4 linked regions of the Lonchura striata genome follow. The main gene of each other region encodes a partner of the protein of the gene in region 4 in a complex. Links are inferred from orthologs where the notes say so. Each region holds a gene or a part of one and is shown on either strand. Other genes may lie near its edges. The genes, in order: THOC7, SARNP, THOC2 and THOC1.

The links.
Region 1: the proteins of THOC1 (region 4) and THOC7 are in contact, whole or in part, in a cryo-EM structure (PDB 7APK), measured with the Homo sapiens proteins. The link is inferred for Lonchura striata from reciprocal best matches to the Homo sapiens genes THOC1 and THOC7. Residues at the interface, in NP_005122.2 of Homo sapiens: Leu10, Arg14, Glu46, Gln53, Arg56, Glu60, Ile63, Ile64, Asp99, Asp102, Cys103, Leu104, Pro105, Arg146, Gln151; in NP_079351.2 of Homo sapiens: Tyr47, Gln51, Leu54, Ser55, Ser58, Gln59, Phe62, Gly65, Lys66, Leu69, Val70, Met73, Arg76, Glu77, Asn80, Ile84, Ile88.
Region 2: THOC1 (region 4) and SARNP share a complex: the UniProt entries of both Homo sapiens proteins name them as parts of the transcription/export (TREX) complex. The link is inferred for Lonchura striata from reciprocal best matches to the Homo sapiens genes THOC1 and SARNP.
Region 3: the proteins of THOC1 (region 4) and THOC2 are in contact, whole or in part, in a cryo-EM structure (PDB 7ZNL), measured with the Homo sapiens proteins. The link is inferred for Lonchura striata from reciprocal best matches to the Homo sapiens genes THOC1 and THOC2. Residues at the interface, in NP_005122.2 of Homo sapiens: Asn134, Arg138, Asn141, Leu144, Arg145, Lys149, Thr153, Cys156, Gly157, Gln160, Leu161, Ala164, Arg165, Phe167, Gln242, Phe245, Arg246, Tyr297, Ala299, Lys300, Phe301, Arg319, His320, Leu323, Gln324, Ile327, Tyr331, Arg373, Phe374, Lys376; in NP_001075019.1 of Homo sapiens: Leu155, Phe156, Tyr157, Lys158, Gln160, Asn163, Leu164, Leu165, Arg166, Asn169, Glu170, Ala173, Lys174, Ile176, Ala177, Gly180, Gln181, Asn195, Lys197, Ser198, Leu199, Ile200, Gly201, Cys202, Phe203, Asn204, Leu205, Pro207, Asn208, Arg209.

Annotation. Positions count from the first base shown.
Region 1 is NC_134614.1:17,667,717-17,675,649, reverse strand, and holds the start of THOC7 (THO complex subunit 7), read left to right. Parts: upstream 1-4,915; 5' UTR 4,916-5,028; coding exon 5,029-5,047; intron 5,048-5,333; coding exon 5,334-5,451; intron 5,452-5,721; exon of another isoform or gene 5,722-5,820; intron 5,821-6,284; coding exon 6,285-6,412; intron 6,413-6,737; coding exon 6,738-6,824; intron 6,825-7,810; coding exon 7,811-7,868; intron 7,869-7,933. UniProt on the Homo sapiens protein: Component of the THO subcomplex of the TREX complex which is thought to couple mRNA transcription, processing and nuclear export, and which specifically associates with spliced mRNA and not with unspliced pre-mRNA.
Region 2 is NC_134629.1:9,289,882-9,297,008, forward strand, and holds the start of SARNP (SAP domain-containing ribonucleoprotein), read right to left. Parts: upstream 3,008-7,127; 5' UTR 2,979-3,007; coding exon 2,943-2,978; intron 2-2,942; coding exon 1-1. UniProt on the Homo sapiens protein: Binds both single-stranded and double-stranded DNA with higher affinity for the single-stranded form. Specifically binds to scaffold/matrix attachment region DNA. Also binds single-stranded RNA. Enhances RNA unwinding activity of DDX39A.
Region 3 is NC_134616.1:9,796,288-9,803,858, forward strand, and holds the start of THOC2 (THO complex subunit 2), read right to left. Parts: upstream 3,005-7,571; 5' UTR 2,876-3,004; coding exon 2,814-2,875; intron 1-2,813. UniProt on the Homo sapiens protein: Component of the THO subcomplex of the TREX complex which is thought to couple mRNA transcription, processing and nuclear export, and which specifically associates with spliced mRNA and not with unspliced pre-mRNA.
Region 4 is NC_134603.1:48,096,392-48,103,453, forward strand, and holds the start of THOC1 (THO complex subunit 1), read right to left. Parts: upstream 3,004-7,062; 5' UTR 2,967-3,003; coding exon 2,919-2,966; intron 1,919-2,918; coding exon 1,845-1,918; intron 1,738-1,844; coding exon 1,677-1,737; intron 765-1,676; coding exon 698-764; intron 1-697. UniProt on the Homo sapiens protein: Component of the THO subcomplex of the TREX complex which is thought to couple mRNA transcription, processing and nuclear export, and which specifically associates with spliced mRNA and not with unspliced pre-mRNA.

The sequences.
Region 1 (7,933 bases), on a different chromosome or scaffold from region 4:
CCTGAAAACATCCTACCAACAAATTAAGAGCATGCTAGATAACTGCCTAATCCTGTCAAAAAACCTCCAAAATAACGTCTGCTTTCTTACAAAACACATTGAAACAGAATCACAGAACAGCATGAAATGCCATACCAAAATTACCTGAGTCACTTTAAATCACAGAATGCAGACATCATGTGGGATCTCTGAGCCATTGCACAGGCAGTCGACAGTGTTAATGATTTTCAGATTAAAAGAAAATTCTAACCAGCTAATCTGTTCTTGCAGCAGCTTCATGACACAGAGTTTCTCAAGACACCTGTTAAAACACCTTGACTTTCTTGTTAAGTGGGAATCTACCAAGCCCCTGGGAGTAGGAATCATGACCCACAGTGCCACTCCTGCTAATCCCACTCTAACAGAGCCCCTTTTGGCACACACACAGGGCACACTTCCCTTTGCATCTCTGCACCTAAAAGCTCTGGCTTCTATACTCAATACCTACACATCCAATATAATGAAATTCCAAGCTGAGTTTGACAAGCTTTAATAAATTAGTCACAGATCATCCTAAAATGTGCAATAATTGATCCTCAAGCTTCATAAATATTCAGTAGGATCTGGATATGAAATTTGGAAAGCTGTTACATAATTCCTGTGAAGATAGCTGAAAGAGGACAATATCAGAATGCCACCTGTGTCATTAAGATTAACTAAGACACAGAGCCCTTACTTAGGAAAAAAAAATTCAAAGGACCATGAAGCACTATTTTTTTTTTTAATTTTATGACTAAAATAAGCTTTTCTCCCTTCAGGAGAAAAATAGTAGTGATAAAATGTCTTTCTAATGAACAAAATATTTCCAGGACTAATATTTTGCAAGATGCTTCCATCAAAACTTCAGAAATTTTACAGGCTTCTTTCAGTTACAAAATAAAAAATAACAAATAAAACCAATACTGTAGACCACTACTTGTGATTAAACTATTATCTGATAGGAGCCTGGTATTTAAAGTATGAGATTAACAGCACATTTAATCAATCTTGGTAACACAGGCAGAATACAGCAAAATTGACTGCTGTTTAGATAATAAAATGTTGCATTTTAGAATTATTGGTACTATCACTACAGTCACAAGTATTTTCACCCTCCCTTCTTCCATTCTGCTGTAATTCTATGAAAATGGGCTGGCTCTGCAGAAAGACAAGGGTCCATGTCAGGAAAGCTTTTTACAAGGCTGAGAATCACTCGCTACTTTTTATACCTCAATCACTGGGTTGAAAGATTTCAGGTTTATCTGCCAAGAGTGACTATTTTAATATCTGCAGAATTAGACAGCCAGTGTCTTAGAATTTTTACAGAACAAGATGACAAGCTCTTGGAACACTGATGCTAATTTTCAGTAAATGCTGAGGCTACAGAAGACTGCAAAGATAATAAAACTCTAACAATTTCAAATGAGAAAAACAGCCTGATAGGTTAGCTTGTTATCCATCTTGCACAGAATCCCGGTATATTATCAACAGAAAGATAAAGGATGGTGGTAAAAAGTAATGCTAAACATAGGCTTACAGAAAATAGGTCTCACTAAATAAATTTGGTATGGCTTTCTGACAAGAATATAGGTTGGACTGGATAAAAATACCCTGCAGTTTCTGACCTACTATACTTAGATCTCTTTAAGATTTAGTGTTACACAGAAGTCTGATTTAGAAGTTAGTCAACATGAAGAAAACCTGGACTCTAAAACCACCTCATAAATTATTAGGGAGGCAAAAGAAAAATATTTTTAATCCACCTTGTCAATAGTTAAAGCTGTTTTCTTAGCTCTTAAAAATCATAGTTCATTATAGGCTGGAATACTATAAAAAGCTTCTTCCCCTTTAACTTTTTGTGTGGTTGGGAAAAAAAATCATATACACACACAGTTAAAGAAAAAGGGAGGAGGTATACAGTCACTTTAAACTTTTGCTCTCATAGATTGTTTCTCAGGAAAGAAAACTTCAGCATTAACAGATTTCCTCAATAAAAAAAAAAAACATCAGTGCACTTAAAAGCCATATTTTCAGGAACAAAAAAAAAGTATACTTATGAAAAAATCAAAGCCAGTTCCACACACGTGTAACATCTTGCAGTACTAAACTTACCTAGGTTATACTTCTTGCATCCAGAATCACCTGGAAACATTACAGAGGATTATTTAACACTTTTGACAAGGACAGATGTGCAACAAATTATTATGTATAAGCTGATCCAGGGTCTTACCATATGGCACACATAAAAGAATTCAAGGAAAGAGGGAAAATTGTGTGACATTTTAGCTTGGTTGAAAGCACACACAGGTACTTATTCCAAAAGAGCTGGCACAAAGTCAGGTGCTGTCCCCCGTGCAAGAATTTTTTCCTATTGTGTGAATCTCCACTACTGATGCTTTAGGGAAGGTTCAGTTGAAGGATTATATAAAAGACTGTGGCTGATAGAATCTGCCCAGAGTACCCAAAGTGGTGAGGTACAGATAAATAAGAATAAGTTAACCCAGTTTTAGAGATCTACACCATACATCACACTGAATTGATGGCAAAGGCATGGCTGTATACAGTCCAATGCAACACCCTCCACACGCAAGAACAAAGGTTGTTTCACATTTACAAGAAGAGGAATTCTACTTGGAAAACAGAAACTTGCAAAACAGAAACTCCTAAGACACAGTGAATTCTCAAATGCATACAGGAACCCAGCAAGCTGGACCTGGCTTCCCAATCAAAAACATCCCATGGATACTTAATATGTCAAAATAGAGCAAGAGAGAGAACAAACAGGCTGTTGCATCAATACCTAGCCGTAGTGAGATTCTTGATGATGTATTTACCAAGTTCTACTTCCATTCTAAAGGAGAAAAGTTAATGAACATTGATGATGCCTGAAAGCCCTGTCTTAAAAAGAAAAATAATGGCTTTGTTCTCAAAATTGTTCTTATGAGCTTAAGACCTGGAATAAAAAAAATCATAGAAGCTCGTAATTAGTAACACATACGAAGAATGGAACAAAAGGCATTAAATGTTATTAACTAGTCATATGTACTGCTGTATTCTAAATTGATTACTCAAGGACTATCTATTTGTCATTCTGGAGAGCTTAACAAGACCATCTGACCAAGAATGGAATGATGAACAAAGAGTGAGAAAAGATTGTATTGGATTAAATGACAGAAAATCACAGAGAAGTTTTGAGATGGTTAAATAAATAATTGTGTATTTTCACCCACAATAGTCTTCTGTTCTGACCAACTTCCCTCTGTGATAAAAAACAAAAGGGCTCAGGAAATGGAAAGAGCTCAGAGAGGTGTAAAAAAATATTAAGTCTTGATTAAACTGGATGTTTCAAAATGCTTAAGACTTGCAAAAGGAAATAAGTGGATAAAGAGAGAAAGGCAGGAACTGTACAAAATTTGCATAGAGAACTTCAGCTAGGTCTTCTTCTCACCCTTTGGCAAAATACTAGGCTGTACCATAGTGATCAAAGCCTTAAGAAAAACGAAGTTTTAAGTCAAACCAACAAATGGCAACATATCAGAGTTCATAGAAGTGAACACCTTCAGTACAGCTTACATACTTCATGAATGCATGGCCCATTCTTTGGCCCAACTTGGGTAACTGGGTAGATCGTTAGGTTTTCATATACAATTATATCACTCACCAATCACATAAGAGTACATAAAAACTTCAAGAACAGTTATCCAAGTTTCCTATGTTGGAAACGCTTTATTCCTAAAAGTTCTGGTGGGAGTTTTAATGACCGCTCCCAGTAATGCTCCCCTAATAGAACCTTCCAAAGGGCCTGATCAGTTGCCCGTTGAAGACAAAGGACTGACTTGAAACAATCTAGAAATCCGTGAAGAGCTGTTAAATGCCTCTATCAAGAACAAGAAAGAGCCTCTTAACCTCTCAGAGGTCTAAAACCAGGAACTAACAGATGATAGCACATATTAACTTTGTTCTTTTCTCACTCTAATTTTCCCCACCATCCTAAAACTGTCAATGGATAGTGTCCAGCAGAACAAGACAGCTGGCCACTTAACTGTTCAAACCAAAATTAAGAGGGAATAGAAAGGTGTCGGGTTCTGGTAAGCCTCATCTACTGTGATATACACTACAGTAACATTACCAGCACTGTGCAAGCATCCAAGCCTATGGACCAAAAGCCTTAAACTCAATACATGGTAACACCTTAATATATCTTTTCTCCAGACGCCTCTAGCAACGTTTTCCAGCACCAGCTTAGTTTGCCAGGACAGGAAGAAACAGCTATTTTTCCTATCTGCTGATCATAGCCAAACTCACCAGGAAACATCAGAACAATTTTTGGCCCTGCTGCATGTCCTGACACCTGTGCCATGGGCACGTCCTCCACACCGTCACCAGCGAAAAGGCACCGAGGAGCCATCGCTCCCGCTGCCTCCAGCCACCGGGGCTGGCCAGGCAGCACAGGGGATCCACCACCCTCACAGTGCCATCTCAACGACACCGTGACAGCACCATCCACCGCCACCACGGCGGGCCCGTCCGCCGCTCCCGCGTGCCGCCGCCGCCGGTGGGACCGTGCGGAGCCCTGCGCGGGGAGCTCGGGAGCAGCGGGGCGCTGGGCAGGACACCCCGAGCCGGGAGCGCAGGCGAGGCGGCCCCGACCCCGGCGGCCTCGATGGCGCGGGACCATGTGCCGGGGGCATGGCGGGGCGGCCGGGCGGGGGGCGGCGGGGCCGGTGCGGGTGGCGGGGGCGGGGAGGTGGAGCCTGGCTGCGGGACCGCCGCTTCCCTCCCCCGTGGGGCGCTCACCTGGCGGGGCCGCCCCTCGCCAGGGGGCCGGTTCCACGCGGGGCGCGGGGCTCGCCCGCCCGCCCTCCCCGGGCCGCGCGTCCGCCGCCCGCCGGCTCAGGCCCCAGCAGCCGCCGCCTCCCCCTCCATGGCCGCCGCTCTCGCCGGCTGCATTGTGGGAAGCTGACCTCACTCGCTGCTGCCGCCGCCCCGCCGGCTCCGGCACTCGCCGCCATGGGGGCCGTGACCGACGGTGAGACCTCCCTCCCTCCCTTTCTCCATCCTCCCCTCCTCCCTCCCGCCCCGCGCCGCGACCCCCGCCGCGGCTCCCCGCGGCGCCGCGCCCCCCGCCCGCCCTCCGGGGAGCGGCTGCCGGGCCCCCGCGCCCGCCCGGGGCCGCTCGCCCCGCGGGCCGGCCTGCAAGGCGGCCCCGGGCCCGCGGCTCAGCGGACCCGCCCGCCGCGGCTCCGGGAGCCGCTCCCTGCGGCGCCGGGGGCCGGCTGCCATGGCGTGAGGGCTGAGCGGGAGCCTCTCCGCAGATGAAGTTATCCGCAAGCGGCTGCTGATCGATGGCGATGGAGCTGGCGACGACAGGCGGATCAATTTGTTGGTGAAGAGTTTCATTAAGTGGTGTAATTCCGGATCTCAGGAGGAAGGGTATCTGTTGTTTTGCTTCGGTTTTTAAAGTCTTGGAACTGCTTAGCTTGCGTTTCAGTGGGGAGCGGGGCTCGATCCGTTTGGAAGAGGTCCGCGTTAAAAATGTGCACAGCTGCTTTTCCTCGGCTCTGTGGTGTTTCCAGGACAAACGCCGAGGACTGTGCTGGGAGAGGAGGCTGCAGACGGGTCAGCAATCGCCGAGGGCTGCGGGCTGTATCGTGAAATCTGCCAGCACCGCTCCAGTGCCCGCAGGATGCTGTGCCTGCTGCGTGCTCCAGCCAGGAGTCCCGCTCTTATAACAGGATCATGACTCGGATATTTGAGTTGGCAGTTCTGCGTTTGTTCTGTTAGGGAAGGGAAATACTGCTGGTATTTCTGCTGCTGTCGTTCTCTCTTTTTTATTTATTTATTTTTAAGTCTAAATTAGTGAGTAACGAGTGACAGCATTCTGTAGGGTCTGTGTTAGTAATGGATATAAAATCCCAGAGATCACAATATTACCAGTGTGTATACAGAGAAGCACTGCAGTATTAAAATACTAATTTGGTGGTACAGAGCCAACCCGAGCTGGAAAATTTATAAGCCCTGGGTCAAACTGCTCACTGCTTTAATACCCACTCTACACTGAAAATGAAATGATGCTGAAATCAATGTGTACAGGGTTTCTAGCTGCACTTCCAACAAAAACCCCAACTATACACTGAATATAATTTCTTTATTGAATAATTGCTATTTAGCTGTCCCTTAAGCTACATGAAGTTTTGTTTTCTTGCTCTGTGAAGTGAGGAAAAATTTTTATGCTGCTTGAGAGTAAATGTCTTGTCTGTTTTCAGATATACCCAGTACCAACGAATGCTGAGCACTTTATCACAGTGTGAATTTTCAATGGGAAAAACTCTTCTGGTATATGACATGAACCTGAGAGAGATGGAAAATTATGAAAAAATCTATAAGGATATAGGTAAACATGAGAAAATGTTACTGATTTCTGTTTGGCAGTTTCTCCTGCGAACAAGCTCAAGCCTAGTAAACATAATATATACATCTGATGAGTGGTTTGGAGGTTTTTTGGGTTTGGATTGTTTTTCTTACTAGATAGCACTCATATATGTGCTATAAGCATCTTGTAATTACATAGAATACATACAAACAAGAGCTTTTTTAACCTATTGGCATCTATATAGTTTTTAAGCTAATGGAGCTAACAAGCCACCATGTTCTATAATTTAGCAGAATAGCTTATTTACATGTACTGAGTTCAATATGACTCTCTTTCTTTTTAAAAGAAAACAGTATAGCTGCAGCCCATGAGAAGATCTCTGAATGCAAAAAACAAATCCTGCAAGCAAAAAGGATTCGAAAAAATCGCCAGGGTAAGGTGCCATATCTGTATTTATAGTTGTGGGCTTCACTGTTTTCTGATCTTCTAGAATACATTGTATTGGAAAATAGATTCTAAATTTTTGAATGTGCAGGGCATTGTGATTAGTGTATTCAGCCTGGTGGGTTCCACTGACAACTGAAAGTTTTGGCTGGATGGCACAGGCAAGATTGAACCAAATCTCAATGACATGCAGCATCAGGAAAACCTAAAACAGTGTCCTTTCTGTACATCCTTTTTAAGAGGCGTGTTTTTACCCTACTTTTAAAATTATATACTCATAATGCATTGAAATCTACAACACTCTAAAAGATGAGCAGTTGAGAAGAATCAAAAAATGTTTTTTTCATGATAAATGAAATGCCAAAAGTTTCAGAAATACAACATGAAAGGTTTTAAATACAAGTTGATTTGATCAATACTGTAGATAATATTGAACTCAACTGGAAAATAAAATAACCAGTAGGAATGTGGAGTTCTTACATCTTCACGAACATAGTTCTGAAGTGTTTACTTTTTGGTATGTTCTGTCTTGTCTGCAGCACAAATTTTTCCAGGTGAATGAGGTAATTTGCATATTTATGGTCCTACTACCAGGAAATGGCTGTGTTAGTTGCCTGTATAACCATAATATATAACCATAATATTATTCTTAATGTGTAATAGTTTTTAAAAAAAAATCCTCAAAATGAAAAAAAAAATCCATGCATCTTATACTTTTTTCTAAAAATCTTGAATGTTCATGTGTAAAATCAGCACCATTTTCTGCACATATACATTGGTTGTATCGAAACCCAGTGTTTATGAATCAGACACAAAAGACTGTGTGCAGCAATGCAGATCTGTCTTAAGGTGTTTTGAAAAACATTGAAACAGTTTTTCAAGGAAAAAGAATCTGCCATTTCATGATACCTGAGTTTGGGTTCTTGAATCCATATTTTCAGAAGTATTTAGATTAACTATTTAAATGTCTTTCAGAATATGATGCATTGGCCAAAGTCATACAGCATCACCCAGACAGACATGAAACACTGAAGTAAGTATAAAACTACATTAAATTAGAATAGAACAGTAAACTAGAAGTCACCAGACTTGACATTT
Region 2 (7,127 bases), on a different chromosome or scaffold from region 4:
GCTGGGAATTCGGGAAAACCGGGAATGAGGGGGGAAACCGGGAATGAGGGGGGAAACCGGGAATGGGAAAAACCTGGGAATGAGGGGGGAAAACTGGGAATGAGGGGGGAAACCGGGAATGAGGGGGGAAACCGGGAATGAGGGGGGAAACCGGGAATGAGGGGGGAAACCGGGAATGGGGGGGGAAACCGGGAATGGGAAAAACCTGGGAATGAGGGGGGAAACCGGGAATGAGGGGGGAAACCCGGAATGAGGGGGAAAACTGGAATGAGGGGGGAAAACCCGGAATGAGGGGGGAAACCGGGAATGAGGGGGGAAACCCGGAATGAGGGGGAAAACTGGAATGAGGGGGGAAACCGGGAATGAGGGGGGAAACCGGGAATGAGGGGGGAAACCGGAAATGAGGGGGGAAACTGGGAATGGGAAAAACCTGGGAATGAGGGGGGAAACCGGAAATGAGGGGGGAAACCGGGAATGAGGGGGGAAACCGGGAATGAGGGGGGAAAACCCGGAATGAGGGGGGAAAACCGGGAATGAGGGGGGAAACCCGGAATGAGGGGGGAAACCGGGAATGGGAAAAACCTGGGAATGAGAGGGGAAAACCCAGGCATGGGAATGAGAGAGGAATTCGGGAATGAGAGGGGATTTGGGAATGGGAGGGAAATCCAGGAATGAGAGGGAATTCGGGAATGGGAATGAGAGAGGAATTTGGGAATGAGCGGGGAAAACCCAGGAATGAGAGGGAAAATCAGGAATGAGAGGGAATTCGGGAATGGGAATGAGAGAGGAATTTGGGAATGAGCGGGGAAAACCCAGGAATGAGAGGGAAAATCAGGAGTGGGAATGAGAGGGAATTCAGGAATGAGCGGGAAAAACCTGGACTGTGACAGAATCCAGGAATGGGAATGGGAAAGGAATTCAGGAACGAGAGGGAATCCGGAAATGGGAATGAGAGAAGAATTTGGGAATGAGAGGGAATCCGGGAATGGGAATGAGAGAGGAATTTGGGAATGAGTGGAGAAAACCCAGGAATGAGAGAGAAAAACAGGATGGGAATGAGAAGGAATTCAGGAATGAGCGAGAAAAACCTGGGAATGAGAATGAGAGGGAATCGGGGTTGAGTCCCGGTTCTCTCCCATTCCCGGTTCCCCCATTCCCGGTTCTCCCCCAGTCCCGGTTCTCTCCCATTCCCGGTTCTCTCCCATTCCTGGTTCTCTCCCATTCCCGGTTCTCCCATTCCCGGTTCCCCCATTCCCAGTTCTCTCCCAGTCCCGGTTCTCCCCCATTCCCAGTTCTCCCATTCCCGGTTCCCCCAGTCCCGGTTCTCCCATTCCCAGTTCTCTCCCATTCCCAGTTCTCCCCCATTCCCGGTTCTCTCCCATTCCCGGTTCTCTCCCATTCCCGGTTCCCCCATTCCCAGTTCTCCCCCATTCCCGGTTCTCCCCCATTCCCGGTTCTCTCCCATTCCCGGTTCCCCCATTCCCAGTTCTCTCCCAGTCCCGGTTCCCCCAGTCCCGGTTCTCTCCCATTCCCAGTTCTCTCCCATTCCCAGTTCTCCCATTCCCAGTTCTCTCCCATTCCCGGTTCTCCCATTCCCAGTTCTCCCATTCCCAGTTCTCTCCCATTCCCGGTTTTCCCCCATTCCCAGTTCTCCCCCATTCCCGGTTCCCCCGGAGCCCTGCCCCGCTCCCCTCGGTCCCGGTTCCATTCCCGCTTCCCTCAGAGCCCCCTCGAGACCCCCCAGAGCCCCTCAGACACTCCGAGTCCCCTCAGAGCCTCCTCAGAGCCCCAGAGCCCCTCAGACCCTCAGAACCCCCTCAGAGCCTCCTCAGAGCCCCAGAACCCCCTCAGAACCCCCTCAGAGCCCCTCAGACCCTCAGAACCCCCTCAGAACCCCCTCAGAGCCCCTCAGACCCTCAGAACCCCCTCAGAGCCTCCTCGGAGCCACTCAGACCCTCAAAACCCCTCAGAACTCCATCAGAACCCCTCAGAACCTCTCAGAACCACTCAGAACCCACTCAGACCCCTCAGAACTCCCTCAGAACCCCCTCAGAACCCCCTCAGAACTCCATCAGAGCCCCTCAGAACCCCCTCAGACCCCTCAAAGCTCCCTCAGAGCCCCCTCAGAACTCCCTCAGAACTCCATCAGAACTTCATCAGAACCCCTCAGACCCCCCTCAGAACCTCTCAGAACCACTCAGAACCCACTCAGACCCTCATAGCTCCCTCAGACCCCCCTCAGAGCCCTTCAGACTCTCAGAGCCCCTCAGAACTCCATCAGAACCCCTCAGACCCCTCAGAGCCGCCTCAGACCCTCATAGCTCCCTCAGAACTCCCTCAGAACCCCTCAGAGCCCCCTCAGAACTCCATCAAAACTCCATCAGAACCCCTCAGACCCTCAAAACTCCCTCAGAGCCCTCAGACCCTCAGAGTCCCTCAGAACCCCTCAGAACTCCATCAGAACTCCCTCAGAACCCCTCAGAGCTCCCTCAGAACCCCTCAGACCCTCAGAACCCCTCAGACTCTCAGAGCCCCTCAGAACTCCATTAGAACCCCTCAGAACTCCCTCAGAGCCCCTCAGAGCTCCCTCAAGACCCTCAGAGCCCCCCAGAGCTCCTTCAGAACCCCCTCAGACTCTCAGAGCCCCTCAGACCCTCAGAGCCCCCCAGAGCTCCTTCAGAACCCCCTCAGACTCTCAGAGCCCCTCAGACCCTCAGAACTCCATCAGAACTCCCTCAGAGCCCCCTCAAGACCCTCAGAGCCCCCCAGAGCTCCCTCAGGACCCCTCCGAGTTTCCGGCCCTTTTCCCGCCGTTCCCCCGCGCGCTCCCTCCGTCCCAGCCGCAGTCCCCGCGCTGCCCCCGCGGGCTGTGGCGGTTGCCGGGTTCTGTCCCCGTTCTCTCCCCGCGGTTTTCCCGGCTCCGTTCCCTCTCCCAGCGGCACCTTCAGCTTGTGCAGCTCCACCGGCTCCGCCGCCATCTTGGCACCCCCGCGCCCGCCCCGCCCCTCCCGCCGCTCCCACCAATCAGCGCCGCGCGTCCCCCGCTGCCCCGCCCAAATCCGCCGCTCGCCATTGGTCAGCGCTGCCGGCAGCGCCCGCCGGTGATTGGCTTATCGGGGAATAGAGGCGGGGATATGTTGACTGACGTGCGGATCAACCAATGGAAATAGGGATGTGCTGAGAGACAGCCAATGGGAAGAGAGGGCGGGAAACGCGGACTTCCGGGAGGTGGGGCCAGGAGCGGAGCGGGGTCATTGAGGGACTGGGGTATAATTAATTATTAAAAATTATCTCCCTTCATTAAACTATTAACCTTCCTGGATAACATTAGATATTTATTATTTACTACCTCTGGTTATTTTGTGTTTATTGCTTAGAGTGTTGCTATGTTCTTTGCAGTACTTTTATCTATTAAAATATAGCCTTTGTTATGATTTAATTTCATTGTTGTTTAATTATTACCGAAAATTTGCATATATTTGCGTTATTTAGTTACCGTTTATGTGCATTAAATGCTTTGCATTAAATCTTTGTTATAAATTCATTCATTATAATTCATTCATTTGTGCTTCACCCAGCGGTGCAGAGCACAAATTTGGGGCCATTTTCCAAAACATTCCTGCGTTTCCCACTCCTTTCCCTTCTCCAGTCGCTGCTCCCAAGGGCTGCTGCTTTATTCCCTTATTAATAAATTATTATCACTTAATTTATTAATAACTTTATTTAGTACTACTGCATATCTTTCTATTTCTCATTAAAAACACTTCCAATCTCCAGCACAGCCTCCGCTTCCCGCAGCTCCTGAGCCACAACCCCCTCTTGTTATCATTAAAATAACTCAAATAATTCAATTAATTCAAATTATTCAAATGAGCTTCTCTTTTGGGCGTGGCGGCCGCCATGATGGATGTCGTGCCCGCCATGATGGTTGCGGGCAACCTCCATGACGGCAGCGGCCGCTTCCCCGTCGCTCCAAACCGCATCTCCCGCACTAACCGGACACACCCTCCCCCCACGGGTCGTTCCCGGTCGCTCCGGCCCCGCCGCAATCCCGGTACCGGCGCCTGAAGCGCCGCCTTGCCCACACTCAAGATGGCGCCGCGCTCTGCACCCTCATAGAACCCACCAACATGGCAGCGCCCACAACGGCGTCAGTGACGTTAATCTTATTCCTGCGCAGACCGGAAGTGCTGCCGCCATATCGTGATTTAGGGACCCTCAAATTTCCACTCCCCTCTTTTTAAATTTAAAATACAAAAAACACCACTCGATTTTATTTTTAAAAAACCAAATAAAGTCAAATAAAAAAAAATAGATTTTTTAAAAAATTCCAAGCCCTTTTTTTGTGGAGTTTTTAGGTTTTTTGGGGTTTTTTTTTGAGGTTCTTGGTTTTTTGGGGTGAGGGTCTGGGGGGGTTTTTCCTCAGCGCGGCTGCGGCCGCCGCCCCTTCTTCCTCCTCTTGTGCTTCGTGTCCCCCTTGGGGGGACCCCCCTGGCCTTGGGGGGGTCCCTGGAAAAGGTGGGCTAGGAAATCCTGGGGGGCGCTGGGGGAGGGAGCGCTGCCCTTGGGGGAGGCCCTGGGGAGGGAGAGAAAAGGGGTTGGGGCACAGCTGGGCACAGCTGGATACACCTGGGCACTGCCTGGGCACACCTGGATGTACCTGGGCACCCCCTGGGCACACCTGGGTACACCTGGATGTACCTGGGCACTGCCTGGGCACACCTGGATGTACCTGGGCACCCCCTGGGCACACCTGGGTACACATGGATGTACCTGGGCACTGCCAGGGCACACCTGGGTACACATGGATGTACCTGGGCACTGCCCGGGCACTCTTGGTCACTCCTTACCATCCCATCCCCAAGGACTGACCACTGGTGTCCAGCCCCAGGTCACTCCAGGCCACCCCTGACACCCCAGTACACCCCTGGGTACCCCCAGAATACCCCGGGACACCCCTGGGTACCCCCAGGACACCCCGAGACACCCCTAGAACACCCCAGGACATCCCCAAGACACCCCAGGCCACCCCAGGACACCCCAGGCCACCCCGGAACACCCCGGGACACCCCCAGGACACGAGGGGACATGGGGGACATGGGGACATTGGGGACACTGGGGACATTGGAGAGATTTGGGACATTGGGGACACTGGGGACATTGGGAGACTGGGGACATGGGGACATTGGGGACACTGGGGACACTGGGGACATTGGGTATGGGACACCACCAGGGATATTTGGGACACCAGGAACATTGGGGACACAGTGACACCCCCAGGGACACTGGGGACACTGGGGAGATTTGGGACATTGGGGTCATTGAGGGCATGGGCACATTTGTCCCCACAGTGTCCCCAATGTCCCCACAGTGTTCCCAGTGTCCCCAATGTCCCCTCGGTGTCCCCAGTGTCCCCACAGTGTTCCCAGTGTCCCCAATGTCCCCACAGTGTCCCCAGTGTCCCCACTGTCCCCTCGGTGTCCCCATGTCCCCTCGGTGTCCCCAATGTCCCCTCGGTGTCCCCAATGTCCCCACAGTGTCCCCTCGGTGTCCCCAATGTCCCCACAGTGTCCCCAATGTCCCCTCGGTGTCCCCAGTGTCCCCACTGTCCCCTCGGTGTCCCCAATGTCCCCACAGTGTCCCCAATGTCCCCTCGGTGTCCCCAATGTCCCCTCGGTGTCCCCACCTGTGGCACCCCCGCAGCGGGTGCAGCCCATGGCGTCCCTGAGCTCCTCCTGCAGCCGGGCCAGGAACGCGCCCAGCACCAGCTCTAACCACACCAGCTGCTTCCTGCGGCCCAAAAAACGGGAATTAGAGCCCAAAAAATGGGATGGGCACCCCAAAAAATGGGATGGGAACCCCGAAAAATGGGAATGACAGCCCCAAAAACATCCTCAGCACCCACGCCGGCTCCAACCGTGCCAGCTGCTTCCTGCGGCCCAAAAAATGGGAATTAGAACCCAAAAATGGGATTGGCATCCCAAAAAATGGGATGGGAACCCTGAAAAATGGGATGGGCACCCCAAAAAATGGGATTGGCACCCTGAAAAATGGGATGGGCACCCCGAAAAATGGGAATGACAGCCCCAAAAACACGTCCCGTGCCCGCACCAGCTCTGACCGTGCCAGTTGCTTCCTGCGGCCCAAAAAACGGGAATTAGAACCCAAAAAATGGGATTGGCATCCTGAAAAATGGGATGGAAACCCCAAAAAATGGGATGGGCACCCCTAAAAATGGGATGGGCACCCCAGAAAAAGGGATTTATACAAAAAAATGGGATTGGCACCCTGAAAAATGGGAATTACAGCCCCAAAAATGCGCCCAGCGCCCGCGCCAGCTCTGACCATGCCAGCTGCTTCCTGAGGCCCAAAAAATGGGAATTACACCCCGAAATCTGGGATTGGCACCCTGAAAAATGGGATTGGCACCCGAAAACCCAGCATTGCCACCCCAAAAAATGGGATTTATACCCCAAAATCTGGGATTTTTCACCCCAAAGTCACGCCTGGAACTCGCGCTGCCTCTCGGGGCTGCTCACCCGCTCCGATCCCGCCCCAAAACCCGGGATTTACATCCTAATATATTGGATTTTCAGCCCAACATTTGTGATTTTCGCCCCAAAAATGGGACTTACACCCCCAAATTTGGGCTTTTTCACCCCAAACTCACGCCTGGAACTCGCGCCGCCTCTCGGGGCTGCTCAGCTGCTCCCATCCCACCCCAAAACCCGGGATTTACATCCCAATATATTGGATTTTCACCCCAACATTTGTGATTTACACCCCAGAGATGGGATTTACACCCCCAAATTTGGGATTTTTCGCCCCAAACTCACGCCTGGAACTCGCGCCGCCTCTCGGGGCTGCTCAGCCGCTCCCGCAGCACCGGGAACGCCGCCTCCGCCCGGGGGTCGCGGCTCTTGTCGGGGTGCACCTGCCAAGCGACGACCCTCAGCGTCCCTAAATTGTCCCCAAATTGTCCCCAGGATGTCCCCAAAGTGTCCCCAAAGTGTCCCCGACACCCACCAGCAGCGCCAGCCTCCGGCACGCCCGCCTCAGCTCGGTGTCGCTGGCCGCGGGCTGCACCCCGAGCCCCCGGAACGGCTCCGGCTCCTCCTCGGCCACCA
Region 3 (7,571 bases), on a different chromosome or scaffold from region 4:
AGGCTCCTTGATGCGTTGAATCTCTCACAAAACAAGGTAAGGTACCAGTTACTATGTAACTTATAAATGCCCATGTGGGCTGCAGTCATAGATCAGCATCTTCTTGTGGAAATAATTTTCCTTCAAACACAGCACACACAAGTAGGTCTACAAGGAGTCCAGACTGAGCAGCGTAAGTCATCACACTTGGATTCCAACTTCATTTGCACACCAGTATCTGGCAGTAGCAAATAAATGAATATATTTTAATAAAGTGTACTTAGAGACAGATCTGAACTTGAAACTACCACATTTGTGTATTTTTATTAGATACTATTACACGTCAGTAGCTTAATTAATTAAATCCAAAGCTTGTACAGTTTTGACCGATGTCTCTGAACAATGTCTTGGAAGCAAATGGTCACTGCTGCATTACTAATTAACATTATGACACTCTTAAGACATAAAATCCTTACCTTCTGATTTCTGGATAGCACTGTTAAATCATGACAAGTTGATCACATAATCAAAAATATCACACCATTGAAAAAAATAAAATACAAAAAAAACCCAAAACAAAAAAAAAAAGTATAATTATCTTAGAGTATCCATTATTAATCCTAGTAGATTAATAAATTCTAGTAGAAGTTGAAATGCCAAATTGAAAGAAAGCATTTTCTTCTCTCAATATAGTTTCATATTCCCCCAAAACATAGAAATGTGTTCTCATTTAGGTAACTACTGCCAAAATACTATCTCAACTGATCTAGCCAGATCCTGTAAGCCATTTCATACTCCAGCAAGTAAATATTTTTCCATAAGAACTAATCTTTTTTAGCAATTATGAAGGGTTTTTATCCCCCTAAAATGCCTACCAAAAACCTTCTAAATTTTTGTAATTCTTCTATTTGCTAGTAATGTCAGTTTTGCCATTCTGTAGCATCCTTCCCCTCCCCACTTTTCTAACATCATTTTAATGAATTGTCCTCACTTTCAACCACAAAGACCAAGGGTAAACTTACACCTAGACGTAATTTTTATTCTTGGGCATACTCGTATTAGACAAATAATTCAATAAAAATAAGTAGTGTTATTGCATTTATTCCCTTTTTACTTTAATGCTTAAAAACACTTCATGTGTTTCATTCTGAAATGATAGCATCCCAGCTGCGTTTTCCTCTAGTTAATCAGAAGATAGGAAGTTTTGGAAAAAGAAACAAAAAGTTACACACTGAAGACTCTCCCATTAAAGCTGTCTTCCTAAAAAAGTTCTCTAAATATTGTCTACATGCATATACTTTAGATTCCAGAAAATAAGTTCATGCATATTTCTCAAATTTCTAAAGCTACCACTGCAAAACCTGACAACTGTTATCCAGACACAATTACATTTCTTTTAAAACATATGGCCTCATCTGCAAATTGCTCTTTAAGTCACGCCTGGAACACCATTTAAGCAGTCTTCCAAATGAAGTGCAAGTACCACAAATACAAGAATCTAGCTAATCATTTTGTTTTATTGGTCCCACAGCAGATGAACACTCTCCTCCCACCCTGTTAAAGAAGTCCTGCTCTGAGGGGAGAGAACAATCCTAGAAGGTTTTATCATGGTCACAAGCCATGTAAGTTGCCTCTTACAAAGCTCAGAGAGCTGGGAACCCAGTGAGAACAGTGCAGTTGCCATTACGTGATCAGCTGTGAAATGTCTGTTCTCCTGCAAACTCCACCAGCCTCTCAACATGTTCAGCTTGTGTACTAACACAAATAATGGCTCCAGCATGATTCAAACTAAAAATTACACGGCTATAAAGGGGGCCCCCTTCACTACAAAATGGTGGCTCTGGAAAGAACAGTGTTTTGTGCCGGGATTCTCTACATTCTCTAATCTCCAACCCACTGCCATTTCCCCTCATGCACAAAGAAAATTCATTGCCAAAGCTGCACAAGCTTTCAGAAAACACGAACAAAAGAAAATAAAATGAGTGATTATCAGGAAGTGTTTCTCTAAGTGATCCCTGCAACATTCATATTTAAAACTGAAAAATTTAAAATTTTGTTGTTTCTTACAACAAAAAGCAAAAGCACATGGAAGAATTAAAATAAAAGCGCATAAAAAACATATAGCTAGTGCAAAGAACACCCCTGTTAAGCTAACAGAGAAACATGAAATGACCAAACTGGTGAAGCGCCCTTTGAAGAGCTGTACTCCTGAAACACAACATTTAGTGAACTTGCCACATAAAGATGGCTTAAAACAAACACAGGCCCACAATGGAAAGCTCCTGGCACACCTGGATTAGTTTGAGAGGTGGCAACCGAACCCCTCCGTGAACAAACGTTACTTTGTGGAATAGAACAGGAGTGACTACCTAACCGTACTCTGCCTGGATCAAAGAATACAGGGCCAGTCCCACCGGAATCGGTAAAAAAGCGGGAACGGGGGCTGAGGCCTCTGCCAGAAAGGTCAGTACTGTAGAGCAGCGACACAGGCACGCTTCGGGGTCCGCATTACCTCGGGGGGCGGCTGAAGATGAGCCCGACCCCCGCCAAGCCCGGCCCGGAGCTGGATGGGGCGCTCGGGGCGCCGGCACAGCCGGGCCCAGCTACGGCGGCCGGGCGTCGGCGGAGGGCGGCAGCACCCGGCCGGACCCGACGGGAGAGCGGCCCAGGCCCTCCTCCCGACCACGGCTTCGACCCCACGTCCAGCAGCAAGGACGCAGCCCCGGCCGAAGGCCTCTGCGCCGCCCCCCAGCCTCCCCGGGCCGCCGAGGCCCTCGCCCCCCTCTCGCAGGCCGCAGCGCCCATCCCTCCCCACGGCGAGGCCCCGCACTCACAACTCGCTCTTGCCGCCTTTCTCCCAGTTCTTTATCCACTCGGCCGGGAGCAGCGCCGCCATCTTCCCCGTGCAGCGCCGAGGGCCCGGATGGAGCAGCGGCGGCGCCGGGTCAGAGGGGACGGACGGGCCGCGAGAAACCGCGGGACGCGGCCGCGCCGAGCGGGGAGGCGGCGGGGCGGACTGCGCCTGCGCGCGGGGGCCGCGGGGCGGTGCCACGCCCGCGCGCGTGCGTTAGAACCGCGGGGCGGGGCGGGGCGCCTCGCGCGCGTGCGCGCTGAAGTCCCGGGGGCGTCGGGCTCCGCGGGCGCGCGTTAGGGACGCGTGGTGCTGGGGGCGTGCGCGCGCGCGCGCGCATTAGAGCCGCGTGGTTTTGTGTGTGCGTGCGCGCGTTAGAGCCGCGTGGTTGTGTGTGTGTGTGTGTGTGTGTGTGTGTGTGTGTGTGTGTGTGCGCGTGTGCGCGCGTTAGAACCGCGTAGTGGTTTGTGTGTGCGTGTGCGCGTTAGATCCGCATGGTTGTGCGTGTGTGTGTGCGGTTAGAGCCGCGTGGTGGTGTGATGGTGTGCGCTGGTTAGAGCCGTGTGCCGGTCTGTGTGCGCGGGTTAGAGCCGTGTGCCGGTCTGTGTGTCCTGGTTACAGCTGTATGCCGGTCTGTGTGTCCGGGCTACAGCCGTGTGCCGGTCTGTGTGTCCTGGTTACAGCCGTGTGCCGGTCTGTGTGTCCTGGTTACAGCCGTGTGTCAGTCTGTGTCTGTGTGTCCTGGTTACAGCCATGTGTCAGTCTGTGTCTGTGTGTCCGGGTTACAGCCGTGTGTCGGTCTGTGTGTCCTGGTTACAGCCATGTGTCGGTCCGTGTCTGTGTGTCCTGGTTACAGCCGTGTGCCGGTCTGTGTCTGTGTGTCCTGGTTACAGCCGTGTGTCGGTCCGTGTCCGCGTTAGAGCCGCGGCGCGCGCGCGTTGGAGGCGTGGGGCGGGTGCCCGCGCGTGGCGCGTGCGTCGGTGCAGCGGGCGCATGTGCGCACGCGCGGTGCGGGTGCGCGTGAGGCGCCGCCGGCCCCGAGCACGGCGGAGCGGCGAGATGTCTGCTCGGAGAGAGGGCGAGAATGGTAAATCGTTTGAATAAATAGGCGGTTAAAAAGGGATTGTGTAAAGCTTGCTATGACACGTCTAAATGGTCCTTCCGATACAAGCACTTAGGACAAGCAGTTGTATGGACCTCGTATTCCGCGTGTCGCCCCTAATGCGTGTGCCTATTTTATTACATGTCGCTTGTCTCCATTAAGTTTCTGCAAGTTGTTCTGTGTTCCCTTCAGTTGCTAATTGGGATATTAGGGTTAAAACACTCCATTTGGTCGGGTAGCAAATGTTTTTAGTCAGACATTTCTCTTTCCTCTCAAGCCACCTACGTTCTCAGTCTTGTACATGCTTCCTCCTCTACAGTAGTGTCAATTGTTTCACAAATACAATGAAACTTCAGCAAATGGGGAAATTGAAATAAAATCTAAAGGTGAGGCCCCACAGCCCCTGTGCCGTTATCGGTGCCAGCACTGCTGTGCTCGCTGCCTTGTTCTCCACTCTGAACTGAAACGTGCAGCTTGCTTGTTTTATATATATATATATATATATAGGTGTAACAGCTTTCCACTCGCAAAATAGCTCTGATCAGGAAGTCTAGCATTTCAGCAAATCTACATAATTCTGCCTGAGACAGGGACTGGTGTTGTTTCAGTTACCATTCTCAGCCAGTTTCTGCGAGCTGTGCAGAATATTGTGCAGAAGGCTGCTTATGAACAACGCCTACTTCAAGGGGATCCCTTACAACCCTAAACTCTGCAGTAACACAAGGAGTAAAGGAGGCAGATTCTCTGCTTCTCATACTTATATTTTAATTATATGGAGACCACATTCCAGGCATACTATATGCAGTGTAATAGAAGATACACTCAGTTTACAAATGCCTAATCTATTTCTGATAGATTATTTTTAAAATAAAAATTCAATAAATATATTGAAAACATATGTATAAATGATAAGCATAGAATTGCAGGCCCGAGGAATAAAATGAGAGGGTGTTATAAGCAAATGCAATAAGTCTATTTAGAAGATAAGCCTAAGAGTCACATAAACAGAAAACAAGAATCTAACAAAATATATTAGGTGCAAGGATGTATGTAGGAATAGTTATGTAAGGTCTGAAGATAAAAATTTGAGATTTTGCCTTCATGATGAGGAGGAAGAGGCAGTCATGGAGAAATGCAGTAGAATAAAGCCATCAAATCATTGCAGGACCAACAGATTAATTCCCAAGTTTACTTAAGGAATTTAAACCTCTTATTTCTTGAAGTATATTAGTAACGGACTGGGACAGGCTGAAAATAAAAGACAGTACATGCAATGCAGAAATACACATGACAGAACCAGTTTTAAAATCTACTCTGAGAAGAGTCTTGATTCCACAGCATTTCTATAGTACTATACAAAACCTTTAGTGGTTATTTAACATAACATTTAATATTTATATAAAATACATTCTCCTTAATTAATATGGATTCTATATATGACATATAAGCTCTAAAACATAGACATTGCATTTTGTATTGCATAAAGTAATGTAGGCAAAGCAAAATATTTTTAAAATAAGTATGTACCAATTCCTTCTCAGAATGACGTATTTTTGACACAGAGTAGTCTGTTCCACACTATAAAGTCATATTCAGTTCTGACTTATCCTTGCTTTTGTGGTGGACATCTCTAGATAGTGAAATGTCTTTCTCCGTAGCACTTGATGTTAGCTGAACTGGGAGGAATTCCTAGGTTAAAAAATAAGACTTATATTTTAGTTCTGTAAAACAGCCTTTATAGTTCATTCTTCATCTTTTCATGAGGCTTTTATTTGCTAGAAAAAGCATCCTGGGCATCCTCAGATTTGTATCAATAAGTCAGAGAACCTTGTTAAAAGCCAGGACAATTTTGTGTTTCTGTTGTTTCAACAGGTTTACATTTACCTTTCTAAATAATGGAATAAAATAAAATGTTGAAAAGAAGGAAGAATGATGCCTGCAAATGCAGGATATGTCACAGCACAATCTTAAATCACCTACTGTGCTTCCTGCCTGAATAAAGAAGTGCTCTGAAGGCTTTGTCCGAGCTACATTAAAGGAAATGCCTCTGTCACCACTATGGTAACAGCTGGATAGCAGCAGGAAGTTATTTAACTGAACAGTAAATACAAGGTTTTCAAGGCTGTAGTACATTATCCAGCAAATACATAGCTAAAAAAATATCAGTGGTAATTGGATCTTATAAAAATGTATTTATTCTTGGTTTTCAAAATAAGTACTACAGCCATCTATTGGGAGAGCTGGAAATGTACAAAAGCAAAAGAAATAAAACATCCAACAGCTCTTTTCCTCTGTATTAACCAGTTCCATTATTCATGTGACAAGGCACAACTTTATTATCTGCTTTGAGGGTTAAACAATTGAGTGCTTTACTTTTTCTGCACAGACAATTAAGAATTACTTTTTGGAAGAAATTATTTTTTTATTATTTGGCTTTAGTATCATGTCCACGTAAGAATTAATTGTTCTAAATTCCCCTTTTTCTTTTAACAGTAATTGTTTCATGATTGTACCAGTTCTTTTTCTGTAGACATTTCCTAAATTCTCACACAGAAAAAATAAAGGTACAAAGGAGGCATGAGTTCACATTGTTAAGATGATTTCCATTTGGTAAAAGCTGTTTAGGCAAGTAAGAATCTTAAACATTAGCTAATACTGGCTGTTTCCATTCATCTGGACAGCTGAAATGAGAAACATTCTTAGACAGTGATTGTCAAATACATCTTGCAACTTTTTGGTTTTTTCATAGCTAAACTCAGTGTCATTGCATCATCCTGAGCTATAAAATGTCCCAGATTTAATGAAGATCACACCATTATGGAGAGCTTTGCTTATTTTCAGCTCACAGAAATCAGCATTCTTTCACTCAGAGTTGTTTGCTTTTCTTACCACTTGGCAGCACAGGCAAGAGCCAACTGTAGATTTAGGTTCCATTTCCAAACGCAATTGGCCTGGATATCTTCTGGTCAGGGCTTAACATGCACATAACTTGTTGGTTCTGTGTATGTTCATGAAACCTGCTGCTGAATAATGAAAGGCAGAAAGACTAATTAAACTCTTCTGCATAATGCCTGTGAAGAAGAGGCTTTGTTAGAAAAGGTGCTGGAAGCAATGCCTGGAGTAATGTGATTGGAGCAGGATTTGGTAGGCAGCAGATCAGTTATTTGCTTGACAGTATGTTTCACTTATTCAATGTGTATTTCTCCCCCATCAGAGCCTATCACTCTAAAGAATCCTGTTCATTTTTTTTTCTGATCATTGACAAGGAAAGACAGAAAGACCCCACACAAAAATCTGTTTCAGCGGTAGATTTGAACAACGAAGAAACTGACCAAAACAGGGAAAAGGATAATTATTTCTTCAATCACAGTATCACCAAATGGCAAAATGTTAGTGCAGAAGTAGAGATCTGTAAGACACTTGCTGCAGGGATTTATTTTCAGAATGAAGACAAGCTGATCTAATGGGCCTTACTCCCATCCTGTGCTGGAACCATTGCATTGACAATTCCTGCTTGCCTGCACTGAAGAATGATGACACAATTAAAAACTAATAAAGTAATTAAGCAACATTTTGTCTTCCATTGCATACATCTTCCTTGAAAATGCTATATCAAGAACAATTACTGTAGTATGTAAA
Region 4 (7,062 bases):
GAAGCCTGTGAACCTTTTCAAGAACCACTAAAACAGAGCTCCAAGTCCATCCACCCATGCTCTGTAGGCAGTGACTGCTTTCCTCAAAGCACAGTTCTTGTTATTCTACAGCTCACAAAACATACAGCTTGTAATCTGTACTTACTAAAACAAACAATTTTTGATGAATAATGTGAACAAATAAAGAAAAGGAAGAGAGCAAAAGCCATTTCAGAGGAGAACAGCACACTGATGTCTGACACAAGCTGTCATTAAAACAGATTTAAATATGTAAAAACCAGCCATATACTGACAGGAGATGAGCACAGATACCCAGGAGATGTTATTTCTGCCTCTGCCAAGTCATTTTACCTCTCTGCCTCAGTGGTCTCATCTTTAAAATTATGATGGGAAACTTCTAATCATTTTAGAGTGCTGGACAAAGAAACTGCTAATCATGCTGCAACCAAACCCATTCATCTTTTTTTATTAACAAACAAACAAACAAAAATTTTCCAACATAAATGTCACATATATAACCAAATTTAATTATATTATACTTAATTTCTCTTCTGAAACAAATCCAAGCTTAACCACTAACATAAGAGCTATATATCACCAAATGTAATCACAGCAGATGATTTACAGAAATCAAGATTTTAAAATTTCCCTAAATGGTCTTTGAAACTGCCAATAGATTTGAAAGAGAAATGCTCACCTTCTGTGACTCCATTAATAGCAAGAGAAATAATTGCCAGGAGATTCTCACATGGAGCTTTGTTTATCTAAACAAAGAAAACAGTGTTGAAATTCTCCAAACTAACCATAATGTACCTAACAAAAGTAAAATTCTTGTTTCCAAGTAGGCATATTTAAAACAAATGCTGAAATTCAACTTTTCAAAACAATCTATGAAATCTGACCTATCAGTTAACTGCAGTTGAATTTTTATTGAAAATTAAACCTTTCCTGACTGCTTCCACCCACTAAAGACCCAAATGTACAGTCATTTACTTCTGAAAATTAGTATCCCACATTCAGACTTCATTTGAATATTACTTGATCATACATTATTTGACTCCTTTTATCATTCTTTTCAGCTGACAAGGCAGCTTTGTTACATATTAGTAACATACCACAAAAGAATTTTGATTTGAGGAGGGCAAAATATCTCAGTGCTCAAACCCCGCTGCCAGGGGCAGAGACACCTTTCACTAGCCCAGGTTGCTGAAAGCCCCATCCAACCTGACCTTGATCACTTCCACATTGGATGGAGCATCCAGAACATTTTGGGACAACTTGTTCCAGTGCCTCACCACCCTCACAGTGAAGAATTTCTTTCTGACATCTACTCCAAACCTACCCTTTCCACCCACTCTTAAAGAACAATTACTGAACGATGCATGTTTATGAATTAGAATTTTAAGATGTAGCAGACTTTCATAAGCATTACAAAGAACTGCTAGAAAAGGCTCAAACAGCTCTCACCATAGTGTGATGTCTGTAAAATACAAGATTCTACCAATCTCCTTGAATCATCTGTATTTCATCTCAATTACCTCACCATTACATAGCTCTTGTTTTTAATAAAGTGTTTTCTCACACTAAAGTAAATTGTTATTACATTAATACACGAGCCCGCTAATAGAAATTTGAGGCTGAAGAAGAGATAAGCTTCAGCAGTTTAAAATACTTACTATTTCTTCTTCTACAACAACTCTAAAAACTTGATCCAAGGTACACTTCTTTTCATTTTCACTGCAAAAGAAAACATTCCACCATAGTTAGTAACAACCCTCAGGCACAAGATTACTAAAACTGATCTAAATAGGTACTTTTTAAAAAATCAAGTGGCCTTTACTTACCTTCCAGGAACCTGGTTAAATGCATTCAACAATGGCTTGATGCTTTTGTTAATCAGAGCCTCTCTGGTGGATGTCTACCAAAATGCAAAGAAAGAAAAGCTAAGGAAAGCACAAAACTTAAAGCATCTTCCTCCTTCATCTGACAGTGGGCAGAAATACTAAGGAATCCTTCTGCCACACACCTTGTGTTAGTTTACAGAGAGAGCTTTGTAATAGGAAGGGCAAATAACAAGTACATGGGAAATTAAGCACGTGAGCTACAGAGCATCACACCTCAAACCTGGGGTAACAGTGTAGTGCAAACACCAACACTGTATCCATCATTGTCTCACGTGCTACACTCACAGCTTCAGGTGGTTATGGTGGTTTGGGACACAGATCAGAGAATATTCTGAGTCAGATGGGACCCACAAGGATTATCAAGTCCAACTCCTGGCTCTGCACAGACAGCCCCAAGAATCGCATCGTGTGCCTGAAAGCCTCTCGCTGTCTTCAAGGGAGTTAGTAACTCCTCCCAATTTTCTATCACCTTCAAACTTGCATAGGATCCCTGCAAGTCCTGCGTTTATGAAGATGTTTAAAAGCACACGACTCCTGCTAAGAAGATGGTCTAAAAATTACGACTTCCTGTTACAAATTCGGTCTAATGAATCGAGTGCTTGTGCCTCGAGCACTTCAGTGCAAATCCCATCCTCTTGTCTGACAACCTGGCTGGCAAACGCCGGGATCCAGAGGCCTGGGAACACACGGAGCCCCCAGCTCTGGGACAGGAAAGGCATCCTTCAGCAGAGGCAGCAAACGCAGTACGCCCGGACGTTTTGCTGCAGGAGGCACGCTACACTTTGTCTTTCACATTAATTCCGCTACCCTGGTGACTGGTCCCCCGGCCCCGGCCGAGCGGGCGTGCAGCCCGCCCTCGCTGCCGCCCCGCGCCGCCGCACCTCGGCCGCGCCCAGCTCCATCAGGGAGCGGCCGGGCCGCGGGCCCGGGGGCGCCGAGGCACAGCCGCGTCCCGTAGCCCGGCCCGAGCGGCAGGAATGGAGCGAAGGCCGGAGGGAGGCGGGGGAGGCTCACCGTGAAGCGGAGCCGCGCCTCGGGCAGGCTGAAGAGCGGCGGCGACATGTCGGCGGGCGGGCGGCGCGGCGGGCGCGCGCGGATGACGCCGCGGCCCCGCCCTCCCGGCGGGACGCGGCAGCGGCGGCGGGACGGGCCCGGCCGCGCCCAGCGGCGCCCGGCTGCGGCTCGGGAAACGCCGCCGGGACGGTCGGGTCCAGCCCCTAACCCGGCACTGCCCGGCCCGCCGCCAAAACGCGTCCGCAAGGGCCACATCCGCACGCTTCCAGAGATGGCGCCTCCGCCGCTTCCCTGGAGAGCCCGTTCCAATGCCCGGCAGCCCCGCCGGCGGGGCGGCCGTTCCCGGTGGCCAGGCTGAACCTCCCGGGGCACCGCCTGGGGCCGTTTGCTCCTGTCCCGTCGGTGTTGCCGGGGAGACGAGGCCGGCCCCGGCTGTGCACAGCCTCCTCCTTGCAGAGGGTGATGAGGTCTTCCCTTGACGTGCAGGTGTTAGAAGGATAAATGGCTTCTCGGTGGAATTGGCTTGTTAAAAGTTTAGTATTTGACATGGTTCAGTGATCTCGGATGGTCCGCTAAGCTTGAGGAGAAGGATGTGCCACTGAGAGTGGACACAAAAGAATGCAGCATTTGCAGGTCACCAGAAAGTTTGGCAGAACTCCCGAGATAAGGACGGAAGTGACAAAGCCAACTCTGCAACTGTGCTGGAATCGGCTGGAGCTGAGTATAAGGTAATTCTGACAGGGAGATTGCAACCACCGACCCATGGGCTCAGGAGAAGGCCTGGCCATAGCGATTAATTAGAGTGAGTATGAGGGAATTACTTAACTAACAGAAGATAGAATACAAATTAATAAGAGAACTATGCAACTTGTTGCCAGTGAACATTAATGCCTTTGTTTGCTAAAATGTATAAATAGGGAAACATATTGGTAGTCAGTGTGCTGGCTTTGTGGATTTGCTGCTCGGCAGTCCTCTGCTCAGGACTGTAAGTAAATAAAACACCTCGACTCAGATTGTGGACTGGCTTCTTAAATATCAGGTGAATGAACCTATTTTGAACAACAACCTGAGCCTCCCTTTTCCAGGCTAAGCAACCCCAGCTTCCTCAGCCACTCCTCATCAGACTGTGCCCAGACCTTTCACATTTCACTATTACCAAAGCTGAAATGACTCTACAGATGTAACTGTTGGTTATTTTTTTCCTGATAAAAAACCCTAGACCACAGTCTCCCACCATTTCCACTGAAGTAAAAATGATTAGGGACTTAATATCATCAGTAAAATCACCTCAGTGCTGACAATTTACAGGTTGAGCAATATCCTACAGATACCTCCTGGGCGACAGAAATATTTGATAAATTACATTTATCATGATCATAGAATCAGAATCATAGAATTGTCAGGGGTAGAAGTGACCTTGGTGTCCGGCCAAAAGCACAGGTACTGCCAAACTCTTGATCAAACGTGGGAAAAAGCTCAAACATCGAATATCCCGTTCATATGGGAAGAGGCGAGTAATATTAAAATTAAGTTTATTGTCATTATTAAGTGCAAATATTTAAAGTAAAGCATGAAAGGATAGATGGGAATATATGGGGCATGATTTATGGCGTGGTGTGGCTGTAGTTAGCGTTTGTACCGGGAGAGGGAAGTGTTTGCCCAGAAAAGGAAGATGCAGCGGGAGGGGCGGCCTGACCCGCGCTTGGGTGGCTGGTTCCAGGCGCTGCTCCGCTAATGGGGAGGTGGAGGCACCCTGCCAGCCCAGAGTTTGTCACCTCATCCATAACTGAAATCATTGCTTGACACTGCCTAAGAAACGTGGGCAATGCCAGAGGATGCCAATTCCTTTCAAACCATGGGGGAAGAGGCTTCATGACATTGAAAATAAGGCTCCACATGATCTGTCTTTTTTGAATGAGTCACCTGCGTGTGCTTTGAGACTTGCTGAATGTTGTTCATTCAGGCTTGGGCGAAAGTTTACTTCCCCCCTCCCCCTCCACTATTTCTCATCTCTTACTTTAATAAATTAAATAATATTATCAGCTGAATAAATGGCCATTCTAAATGAACAATTTGAAATTATTCTAGCCCCCATCTCTTGCTGTAAGAAAGAGAAACAAAGAAGAACTCTATAAATTGGTTATAAAAAAAGCTTTACACTTTAAAAAGATGATAGAAGTGAAAGTAAGGAGATACTGCTAAAGAAAATTGAGTCATTTTTGACTAGAAATATTCCTTAAGCCAAGACTAATGTTTTAGATGAACGGAGAGAACTGCCAACATACTGAAAAAGCAGTGCAGTATATTTGTTAATGAGTACAACATGACTGAGGAGTTTTTTTCCTTGGGGTAGGAACAGATAAAGAACAATGTGATTTAATAGTGGTTTATAGCCACCTCTTGTTCTGTACCGAATTTTTCCCGTTTGGAACGGTGTTACTTTCTCGCGGAGAGGTGGGGATGAGCGCTGGGCTGTTAGTGCTCCTGTTGTGCTGCGGACAGATGAGGCTGCAGTGCCTGAAGAAGCTCTCGCCCCAGCAGCTGCTGTGCACCCCGGGCAGAGCCCTGCCCTGCAATGTCAGCGGCGTGGCACTTCTGCTTGCCAACGTGGTGGTGTCACCGTGCAGCACCTGACAACATCGCTTAGAGCCATCCTCATCACCTTAACAGAGGTGCCAAACTGTGCTCTGGGCTGGCAGACAAAATCTGATTTGGGGGATCAGAAACTCAATCAGAGGAGTAGTGCTGCATACCCGTGAATTAAAATGCCGCAGTTATCCTGGATATAAAGAGCAGTCAGTGATATTGTCAATGTAGCTAATTATAAATTAGATATGTTAGTATGTTAGAAAAAGCTGTGTCTTCTGGTATGTGCTAGGTGGAAAGCTAGCACAGCTAAGGTGGGGAAAAAGAAGTAAATATTGCTTTCTATAATAGTATTATACGCCAAATAATTTTTCAGCCCAGATTTAAAGCTATCACCAGTTGAAAGCTCAGATAGATGAAAGCAATCAACAGCAACAGTATCTCAGGAGACCTGTGTACTCAGAGGTCAGTTGCTAGAACAGATGTTCTATCATTTTATGTCAAGAGGCTGTGTAGATGGAATTACAAAAAACTTCACCCAGATGCTGTCTTTTGGAGTAAAACCCCGTTCCAAGATCAATCTTTCAATTTTAATTTCTGTTACCACTTCTGCAGAAGGGCATATCTGGAGACCTGAAGCCTCCGATCTCTGATAGCCTGAGGGCTTAGTGCTTTGTTCTCCCTTCTTAGTTTCCAGCTCTCATGCTGAAGTGCTTTTCTTCTCAACCCATTTCCTTCCCCACCACCTTGCACACCCTTCAGTGCAGAACTACAGGGTGGATAAATTGCCTTAGGAGCCTGGTTTAACTAGCTTACCTGTTGTTTCCACACCAGTCATGGGAAGTTGCACAAGGCAGTTTTATCTTTTAAACATTGATGAATACAAGGTGTCCTACCTTAGGCACTTAATTTTAAGGTGGCGTCCTGCCAGTCACTGTAGCTTGTTACTGACTGTGAGGTACAATTAATAATGTGTGGACTGACGAAGGAGAAGCAAGATTAACACAAAGCACAGCCCTTCAGGAAAACTTAAATAACATTTTTATAACGTGAATAACAGAGAATCTTTCTGCATTTTATTAGTATATTACACTTTTCACCAAAATATGTATTCAACTTTTATGTTTGTCAAATCTCGTTATGATGTTCTTGTCCATTTAATACTTTCAGGGTTTCCTCTTGATTTATTGAATAAATTGCTGGGGAATATATACCATATGATCCCATTCTCTCATACCAGTTACAGCAGAAGTGTTTTATTGATATATTTTGTATTTTGGTGGCATTTTTAAAAATAATTTGGCAAGAGTACCTAGGAAGGGTTCATTTATGTAGAAGATTTTGGATTCACCTAGAAGACTTATATGCTTCACTTATGAATCTGAGAATGACTGATTTTTCTATTCTTCATCTTTATCTGGGATATGGGACTTGCTGGCATAGATCTCCTGGAATACTACCAGGCATTATACTTCATTTTTATCAATTTATATCTGCAGATAGGTGGAAATATGGTCACAAACAGCAGTGATTGTCAAATGGCCCACTAAGGACTTAA